Linked DNA regions of Kluyveromyces lactis. The protein of the gene in region 2 binds, or shares a complex with, the protein of the main gene of each other region. Links are inferred from orthologs where the notes say so. Each region holds a gene or a part of one and is shown on either strand. Other genes may lie near its edges.

Region 1 (2,408 bases), about 160 kb from region 2:
TAGCTCCTAAGACACCAGCGACTTTCTTACCCATAGTTATAGTATATTATAAGTAGTGATTCTTTCTTAATCTTCCTAAGCAAGATTCAGATCCTCTTTATCGCTTTAGAATAAATACGATCAAGAAAATGAGATAAGTATATTAGAAGCAAAGTAGAGCAACGATGAATGCTACAAGTGTGTACAAATATATACCTGGTAGTAAGGAATCGGATGTTAATGTTGATATTCTTTTCAACTGATGTCATATCACTTTGACGAAAAATTCCAACTGACTCACACTCTCTCTGTGTGAAAGAAACCGCAGGTGAGCCCATTGGAAAAGAAAAAGTTGTGTATTTGAAGTCACGTGGTATGTTGCAATTAGGGTGAGCTCCAAGCTTATGCATTGATTATAACGGTCACTGTATGTAACTTAGCGTATGTATGTATATATATATATATATATATATATATAATGAATGAATACCCTCCCGATTCGTGGGTAGTGCAAATCAGCCGTCTATTCAGAGTCTGATGACGATTCCGAGGATGAGGATGTTTGTTTGCTGTCACTGGAGGTTTGTGAAGATTCCGGCACATCAGCAAACTTGATCTTTTTCCCTCCAGTAGCAGATTTAGCCACCGTATCTTCTTCTGTATTACCAGTAGAACTTGTGCTGGAGGGTTCCATCTCCATTACTTGAGGTGGTAGACCTTTGAAATCTCTTTCGACTCTTTTCAGCTGCGCAAGAGCACTGGAAAGCTGTGTATCTAGAGCCATTTCATCGGCACTAATGCCACCAGAAGTTACTGCTCCCTGGGTTGTAGAAGCTCCGCTTGACGCTAGTGTCACGCCTGGTACTGATTCCTTTTCGGCAATGAAACTTGCTAGGAATTGTAGTACTTCGTCTTTAGATAGGTATGTTGGCGTGCCCACCGTATGTACCACAACGGGCGTGTTCAAAGTGGAGTTTGCTGGTCTTCTAGTTCCCCTTAGCATGGTATACGTGGTTGTTCGTTGGAGTGCGATGAATCAAATCAGCATCTATATATTTACCCAACCTTTGGCTATCTCATCTCATCTCATCTCATCTCATCGCATTATTTCGATTCAGGTTTTGTCTCTCGAAGAATTTTTCAGCTGAGGCACGGGTAACTCAGGCATGTTTCTCCGTGCCTTGCGATGTTAACAAAATATGCAAGTCACGTGTGTCACGTGACTTGCGGCGACAATGCGGTTGATGTGTAAGATAATGGGGTTTCCGTTTTCGTTACCCGGCCGCATGTCATCACCTAATACCATTTTGCGAAGCCAACGCCACCCTTTGTTAGCAACTACCAACCACTTTCTCAATTGAACTCTGATTCAACTTCAATCCAATTCCAATTCAAGTCCAGTTCTTGCTCTTCTGTTCTGGTTTGCAAAATCTTGGTTACAACACACCAAGTATCAACTACTAAACTAAACTAAGAATGTCTAAGGTATTTTTCGACGTGGAAGCTGACGGTCAACCATTGGGTAGAATTGTTTTCCAATTGTACAACGATGTTGTTCCAAAGACTACTGAAAACTTCAGAGCTCTAGCTACTGGTGAAAAGGGTTTCGGTTACGCCGGCTCTGTTTTCCACCGTGTTATCCCAGACTTCATGTTGCAAGGTGGTGACTTCACTCACGGTACTGGTGTCGGTGGTAAGTCTATCTACGGTGCTAAGTTCCCAGACGAAAACTTCGTCAAGAAGCACGAAAAGCCAGGTTTGTTGTCCATGGCCAATGCTGGTCCAAACACCAACGGCTCTCAATTCTTCATCACCACTGTTCCATGCCCATGGTTGGATGGTAAGCACGTCGTGTTCGGTGAAGTCGCTGATGGTTTCGATGTCGTCAAGAAGGTCGAATCCCTGGGTTCCGGTTCCGGTGCTACCAAGGCCAGAATTGTTATCGCTAAGTCTGGTGAATTGTAAGGAAATAAGCTAGGGAATTGACTCTTTTTTTCATTTTAATCCTTTTTTCTTCCCTTTATCACACTTCAATCGCTCGGGATATCTATATATATACTTATGTCTATAACAACCCATTGACTAATTGAGTGTATTTGATCTCACTCAATTGGTAATGGAAGACACTCAAATACATATATACAACACCCTTTTATATCAATGGAAGTTTATGACTAGATCATCATCTCTCCTCTTTGGCCATTAACAAATGTAGCTACCCAATGAAAATGGTTACCCGGGCCTGTTCCCTTTTCTCACCTGAAATTTCCCAATTTAGCTGCCCTCTGCAATCAGCGCAACCTTTACAAGACTTTTCAACATAAAATAATGATCATGATTAATGATCAGTGAGGATACGTTCGTCATTTCAGTGCGGTAACCCGTTGTATCTGCAGTGGTACGCTATTGATCACGCTGGACAGGCTATA
Region 2 (2,776 bases):
CTTGATTCCCCATGGTGCAATCCGCTCTCGCAGCAAGAGCAACCTTGGCAGAGACCATTCTAAGCGCCTGTTTCTGGAACTCAGGAGGCTGTGTTTGTACCACGTCTGTATAGAATAGATATCCCTTTTGTCGTACCCCAGAGATATCTAACGATTTGCCATGCAACGTTTTGTCCTGGCCAATGGATGCCAAATTACAACTGGGAACCACACTTAGTTCTTTAACACTACCACAATGTGTTACCAGTTTAGCTGCAGTATCAGGTCCCAATAAAGCACATAAGTTTGGAGCTACCATTTGTATTCTTGTCTCAACATAGTGTGAGACGTTGTCCCGTAAGTTGTACAGAATATCGAACCAATGGATGGCCTTGGAGAGGAGATCCTTATCAATTCGAGCACCCTCTTTGAAATCTGTCTTTAGAGACATAGATACCACAAGGGTTTCCTCCTTCGATAGCACTTGGTCTAATTGCACGTTGGGAATATCCTGTTGCAGCATCTTGACCACGTCGACGTATTGTTTCCTTTCAGGGACAATAGTTTCCAACCCAGGGAACTTGGCCTTGTAGGTATCTACAATGCATTGAAACACCATGGAAAGCTCTGTATCGAATAAAGGCATCAATTGGCCCAGTTTTATGACATTGTAAGGCTCTGTCGTATGGTTTGTTGCATCTCGTATTATAGTTTCGTGCTTGGCAAGTTGGATGAGGTCATCTAAATCCGCGCCTTGGTGCCAGAATTGCGCGTGAAAGTCAGATATTAGGTTGCTAACACTAGGAGAGGGTAAAATATCCGATTCTGTGGCTATACCACTGGTTATACCACTGGTTACACCACTTAACCCATCATCCAAGCTTTCCTCATCGCTGACACTTCCATAATCTTCGTCATCTAAAAGGTCCATTATCACCTTGTGAAAGAGTAAGACAGGGGAATATGGTTATCCAGTTACAATCCAACTGTAAAATACCACATACTGAACTAACTGAGGATGGTCAAAAGAGCAGTAATCGACTAGTACCTGCTCTCGAGTAGCTATCTCATCGCATTTCTACCAATCTTTAATCATATATAATCACTCTATACGATGTGATCTTTTCTTTTCCAAAAATTTTTCAGTTCTTTAAAGCGATGAGATGAGCTTGAGATGAGGTATCTACACCGATGAGACGGACCTTGACCAGTGTCATAGGGCTTTTCTGAGGTCGTTTGAGAGCTCAAGAGGTAGCATAAACGTAGCAATACAATTGAAAAAGGATGTCCAATATCGTTGGTGTTGAATATAACCGTGTGACGAACACAAGTTCAACAGATTTCCCTGGATTTAGTTCGGATCAAGACAATTCATGGGACTTGGAGAAGTTCAAGGAAACTTTTGACGTACAAATCGAGAGTTTGGATGAGCGTGAAGTGAATTTCGATTTGGTTCATGTCGACACATCGATTGCTAACGCTTTCCGTCGTATTATGATCTCAGAAGTACCATCTGTCGCTCCAGAATACGTCTACTTTTTTAACAATACGTCTGTGCTACAGGACGAAGTGTTGGCGCATAGAATCGGGTTAGTGCCATTGAAGGTGGATCCAGATATGTTGAGTTGGGTGGACACGTCATTGCCCGAATCTGAAAGGTTTACAGATGAAAATACGATAGTGATGTCGTTGAACGTGAAATGTACCAGGAACCCAGATGCTCCAAAGGATTGTGAAGACCCCAAGGTTCTTTATAGAAACGCGCATATCTATGCTAGGGACCTTAAGTTTGAGCCTCAGGGGAAACAGGTGGAACAATTTGCCAAGTGTCCCGTGGTGGCAGCGGATCCAGATATCTTGTTGGCCAAGTTGAGACCAGGTCAAGAGATTTCGTTAAGGGCACATTGTATTCTAGGTATCGGTGCAGACCATGCCAAGTTCTCTCCGGTGTCGACAGCTAGTTATAGACTATTACCACACATCCAGATCACACAGCCTATCACCGGTGATGATGCCAAGAAATTTGTGAAATGTTTCCCTAAAGGTGTCGCAGATGTCAACGAGAAGGGTGAAGCTTATATCAAGGATCCAAGGAAGGATACCGTGTCCAGAGAGGTGTTGAGACACGATGAGTTCCAGGGGAAGGTTAAGTTGGGTAGGGTGAGAGACCACTTCATCTTTAACGTGGAGAGTTCTGGTGCTATGACACCGGAAGAAATCTTCTTCAAATCGGTCAGGATCTTGAAGAACAAGGCGGAATACTTGAAGAACTGTCCAATCTCACAATAAGAAGCCAATTCGCATGTTCTCTATTTAATATCATCCACTCCCTTCCATACACAGACAAACCGTGCATCATAATTCCATTTCTTTCATTCCCTGTATCATACGCATTAAGCCACTCAGTGAACAGATTAGGCACTTATATATATTCATATATAAAGAAGCCACTACATCTAAACTAGTTTAATGTACATTTGTTTTTAGATTCAACTGTGTTACACCATCGCATCTACATTTGTCGGTTCAAACGTCTCCTGATCCTGCGCCATTGGCCGTGCTTTGGTTATAAGATTTTCGATCATGGCTTTTGGATCCACTTCGAGTATCAAGACGTTACCATTATATCCGTCACTCAGATCACTCTGGGCTTTCTGTGTATAGGTTTCGTCCGCGACTTCGTGATCTTTGAATGGTGAGATGGATAGTACAGTTACGAGGAATAGCCCTACTTGAAAGAATAGAATTAGCAGTTGGTAGAAAAGGTACGATGCGTTACCCTTAAAATTACTCGAGG
Region 3 (3,025 bases), about 870 kb from region 2:
ATGTATCACTGTTGCAAAGGGACAAAATGACATTATCGTTAATTCTCAAGGTGAACGTTGGGAAAACGACGTTCAGGGATCTATGAAAAGATGTGGTGGTCAGGGTGACACACTGACCGGTATAATCGCAACCATGTTTGGTTTCTCTCGTGCAGTGCATGATTTCAAATTGGAAACAATAGTAGAAGAAGGTAACGGAGAAAATCTTCCTTGGTCCAAAATGGCTATGCTATCTTGTTTCATCGGATCTACTGCAACAAGAATGGCTAGCAGGGCTGCTTATGATAAGGTAGGCAGACAATTGCAAACTACTGACATGAACAACATGGTGGGAGAAGTGTTCAATGAGTTATACCCTCCTTCACAGTGAACCACTGAGAAAGAAAAAACAGACTCATAAGTTGAACGCTTTTATTATTAGTTTGTAATTAGTTCTTGGCATATATACATACATCAATTACGAACACTCTTTTTATGACTAAATTACCTTTGCATCTAAACTTCACAGCGTCCATTCGTCAAAGTATAGGACATCTTTATCTGAACTGGAAGCTGCCATGGAATTTCCGTGACTGAATATAGAATATTCTTCTCTTTTCGAACTTTGTTGTCCCCCAACAGGTTGAGTCATCTGTAAGACACTTTGCAACGTTACTCTGAAGCAATCAAAAGATACTTTCTCCAACTTATCGTCATATACAAGAACTTCGCACAGTGATCTAATATCTGGTTTCGTTAGTTGTTCTGTAGATATTCCTGATTCAGAAATAAATTCAAGGATCTCTTCGATCGTGGTGTAACTTTTGACGTTACTGGAATAGAGTGCGTCTCTACCGTTTTCGTCGGAAAAGTTGTTAAAACCATTTGGATATGTTCTTTCCGCTGTGAATCTCCAAACGATGGTCAGAAGACTGTTTATAAACTCAACGTCCAATTCACTATCTGTGAACCACGGACCACCTGTTACGTCAATGGATGGTTGCAAATTGTAAAGCATGTATATCTTTCTGGTTGGGTATTTGACACTCTTTACACTCTTTACGTACCTCTGTGATTCAAGTGATTTTAAACATTTCAGAACCACATGTTGGTGTAAATTTGTCTTCGCCTTGATCGTTTTCGTCCATATACCCTCTCTTCCACTAGCTTCGATGTATGAGTAGACAAGAGCCTCATCTGAGCTCATCCCGCTTTTCTTTTCTGCTTCAGCTGCATCTACTGCTTGGAACTTAAGTTCTTTATTCTGTTTCACTAACTTCAATAGATTCTTATCCAAAAGTTCCTGAACATATTGCATTAAATCACTTAACGAGCAGTTGTCTAACATGGAAGTTAACTCTTTTTGAGAGAACAATTTACCAGTTTCTTGAGAACACATCTTCTCATGCAGCTCTCTGGCTGGATCAGAGAGCTTTATTGTTGAATTAAATAACGAATTCATTATCGGTTTCGAAGGAAAATACACCGTTTGCGTTCCTAACAATAATAGAGGTAGGCCTAAATAATGGTTCAATAGATCAGTTTGTAAATTTGTCAGGCGTCTGACTCTTTCATCAATTATTAGTTCGATAAGTTGAACCATTCCTCTTCTCATCGCGTGCTATTATTTTGAGCTTTGATCAGTTTTTTTTTTTTGAATCCATTCCAAAAGAAAAGCGGCAAACAGATGGAAGTTATACACACAATATAGTCAATGGAGAACATAAAGAGATCCGATACATGAAAGTACTTCTATCAATAAATGAACTTCCCTGTACTAGGCTTACGGTAATAAGAGTTGTATTCTTTTGAATATATATGAACTTTCAGTATTAAATAGATTCTAATTTTGTGTTTGAGTGGCTGTTCGTCACTCTTTTTATAAGCTCCATGATTTTTTGATCACTTTTGCTCAATAACTATCAACTTAAGAGCGAAATAGCCGAATATTAGGAATATGACATTGAATAGCGCTAGTATTTTGACATCGAACACTAGGTTTTGTACGATGAAACCGAATGTGCTTAGGATAGTGGCACCTGGGATTTCAATATTGAGACCATACTTCTTCTCTCTAAGAACCAAAGACTTGACTTCATTGATAATCAAAGATTCGTAGGCGTAATAGAACACTGAAAGGTTCTTCAAATATTTGAACAGAATATTGTTAATATCCTTAGTGTTGATGAATAATCCACTGAATAACAAAGAACCAAGGATTATCAAAACACTGATTATAATCGAGTTATTCAAGTCTTCAAAAATGATACCAACTGTCAAAATCTCCAGTGAGATGGCAAGGTTGAATAAGATTAGAATACCTTCAAATTTGAAGAACCCATTATCATTCATATTTAAACCAACCAAAGGATAAAGTATTAACCCAAGTAGGATAGGTGGTACCACACGTAATGGAATAATATCAGATAGTATTTTTGAAATGTAATACGCTAGCGGAGAATAGTAATGATTGGAACGTTCCTTGATAAAAATCAATCTTTCCAAAGAGAAGGAGCTTAACCCAGTGAATGTCAGGAAACCGAAATACGTTAAAATAAAGAAGAAAAGGCCTAGTCTGTTTTGGAATCCACTGATATCGTTTTCAACATTATAGTATAGGATACCCAGGAATAAACCCAAAGCTACCGTCAAGACGTAGTTACCTAACAATAGCTTTGGATTCCTGCAGACATTTTTGAACGTTCTTGAACTCAAAATTGAGAGTTGCTGCAAGAAAGTTGCCGCTTTGTATGCTTGTGGAATTCTTAATTCTTCGTTTATACCGGCAGACAAAATTTCATTAATTTCAAACTTCAGTTTCTGGAAATATGCACCATCTTTGAAAAGAGAATGTAATAGGTGCGTGTTGACATCACCCACAGTTTGGCCCTCGTTTTCGGACTGAGATAACAAATCCCTAAATTCGTCCCTGTGAAGAGCCAGATGTTCCCACTCTGTCTGTGTTGGGCTTCCAGTCAAAGAACGGCGATGCGGCTCAACCCTGTGAACTGGGTTAAGACCCTCTGTAGTAGGTAGTGTAGCCTCA

Evidence for each region. The genes of interacting proteins can lie anywhere in the genome.
Region 1: RPC40 (region 2) and RPA14 share a complex: the UniProt entries of both Saccharomyces cerevisiae proteins name them as parts of the RNA polymerase I (Pol I) complex. The link is inferred for Kluyveromyces lactis from reciprocal best matches to the Saccharomyces cerevisiae genes RPC40 and RPA14.
Region 3: RPC40 (region 2) and RPC34 share a complex: the UniProt entries of both Saccharomyces cerevisiae proteins name them as parts of the RNA polymerase III (Pol III) complex. The link is inferred for Kluyveromyces lactis from reciprocal best matches to the Saccharomyces cerevisiae genes RPC40 and RPC34.

What each region holds. Positions count from the first base shown.
Region 1 is NC_006040.1:1,414,721-1,417,128, reverse strand, and holds RPA14 (DNA-directed RNA polymerase I subunit RPA14), read right to left. Parts: upstream 983-2,408; coding exon 503-982; downstream 1-502. Other genes in the region: HOM2 (aspartate-semialdehyde dehydrogenase), read right to left, coding at 1-34; peptidylprolyl isomerase CPR1, read left to right, coding at 1,456-1,944. UniProt on the Saccharomyces cerevisiae protein: DNA-dependent RNA polymerases catalyze the transcription of DNA into RNA using the four ribonucleoside triphosphates as substrates. Component of RNA polymerase I (Pol I) which synthesizes ribosomal RNA precursors.
Region 2 is NC_006040.1:1,252,515-1,255,290, reverse strand, and holds RPC40 (DNA-directed RNA polymerase core subunit RPC40), read left to right. Parts: upstream 1-1,263; coding exon 1,264-2,268; downstream 2,269-2,776. Other genes in the region: U4/U6-U5 snRNP complex subunit PRP31, read right to left, coding at 1-910; GLD1 (Gld1p), read right to left, coding at 2,767-2,776. UniProt on the Saccharomyces cerevisiae protein: DNA-dependent RNA polymerases catalyze the transcription of DNA into RNA using the four ribonucleoside triphosphates as substrates.
Region 3 is NC_006040.1:383,852-386,876, forward strand, and holds RPC34 (DNA-directed RNA polymerase III subunit C34), read right to left. Parts: upstream 1,595-3,025; coding exon 503-1,594; downstream 1-502. Other genes in the region: NNR2 (NADHX dehydratase), read left to right, coding at 1-370; putative ATP-dependent permease ADP1, read right to left, coding at 1,882-3,025. UniProt on the Saccharomyces cerevisiae protein: DNA-dependent RNA polymerase catalyzes the transcription of DNA into RNA using the four ribonucleoside triphosphates as substrates. Specific peripheric component of RNA polymerase III which synthesizes small RNAs, such as 5S rRNA and tRNAs.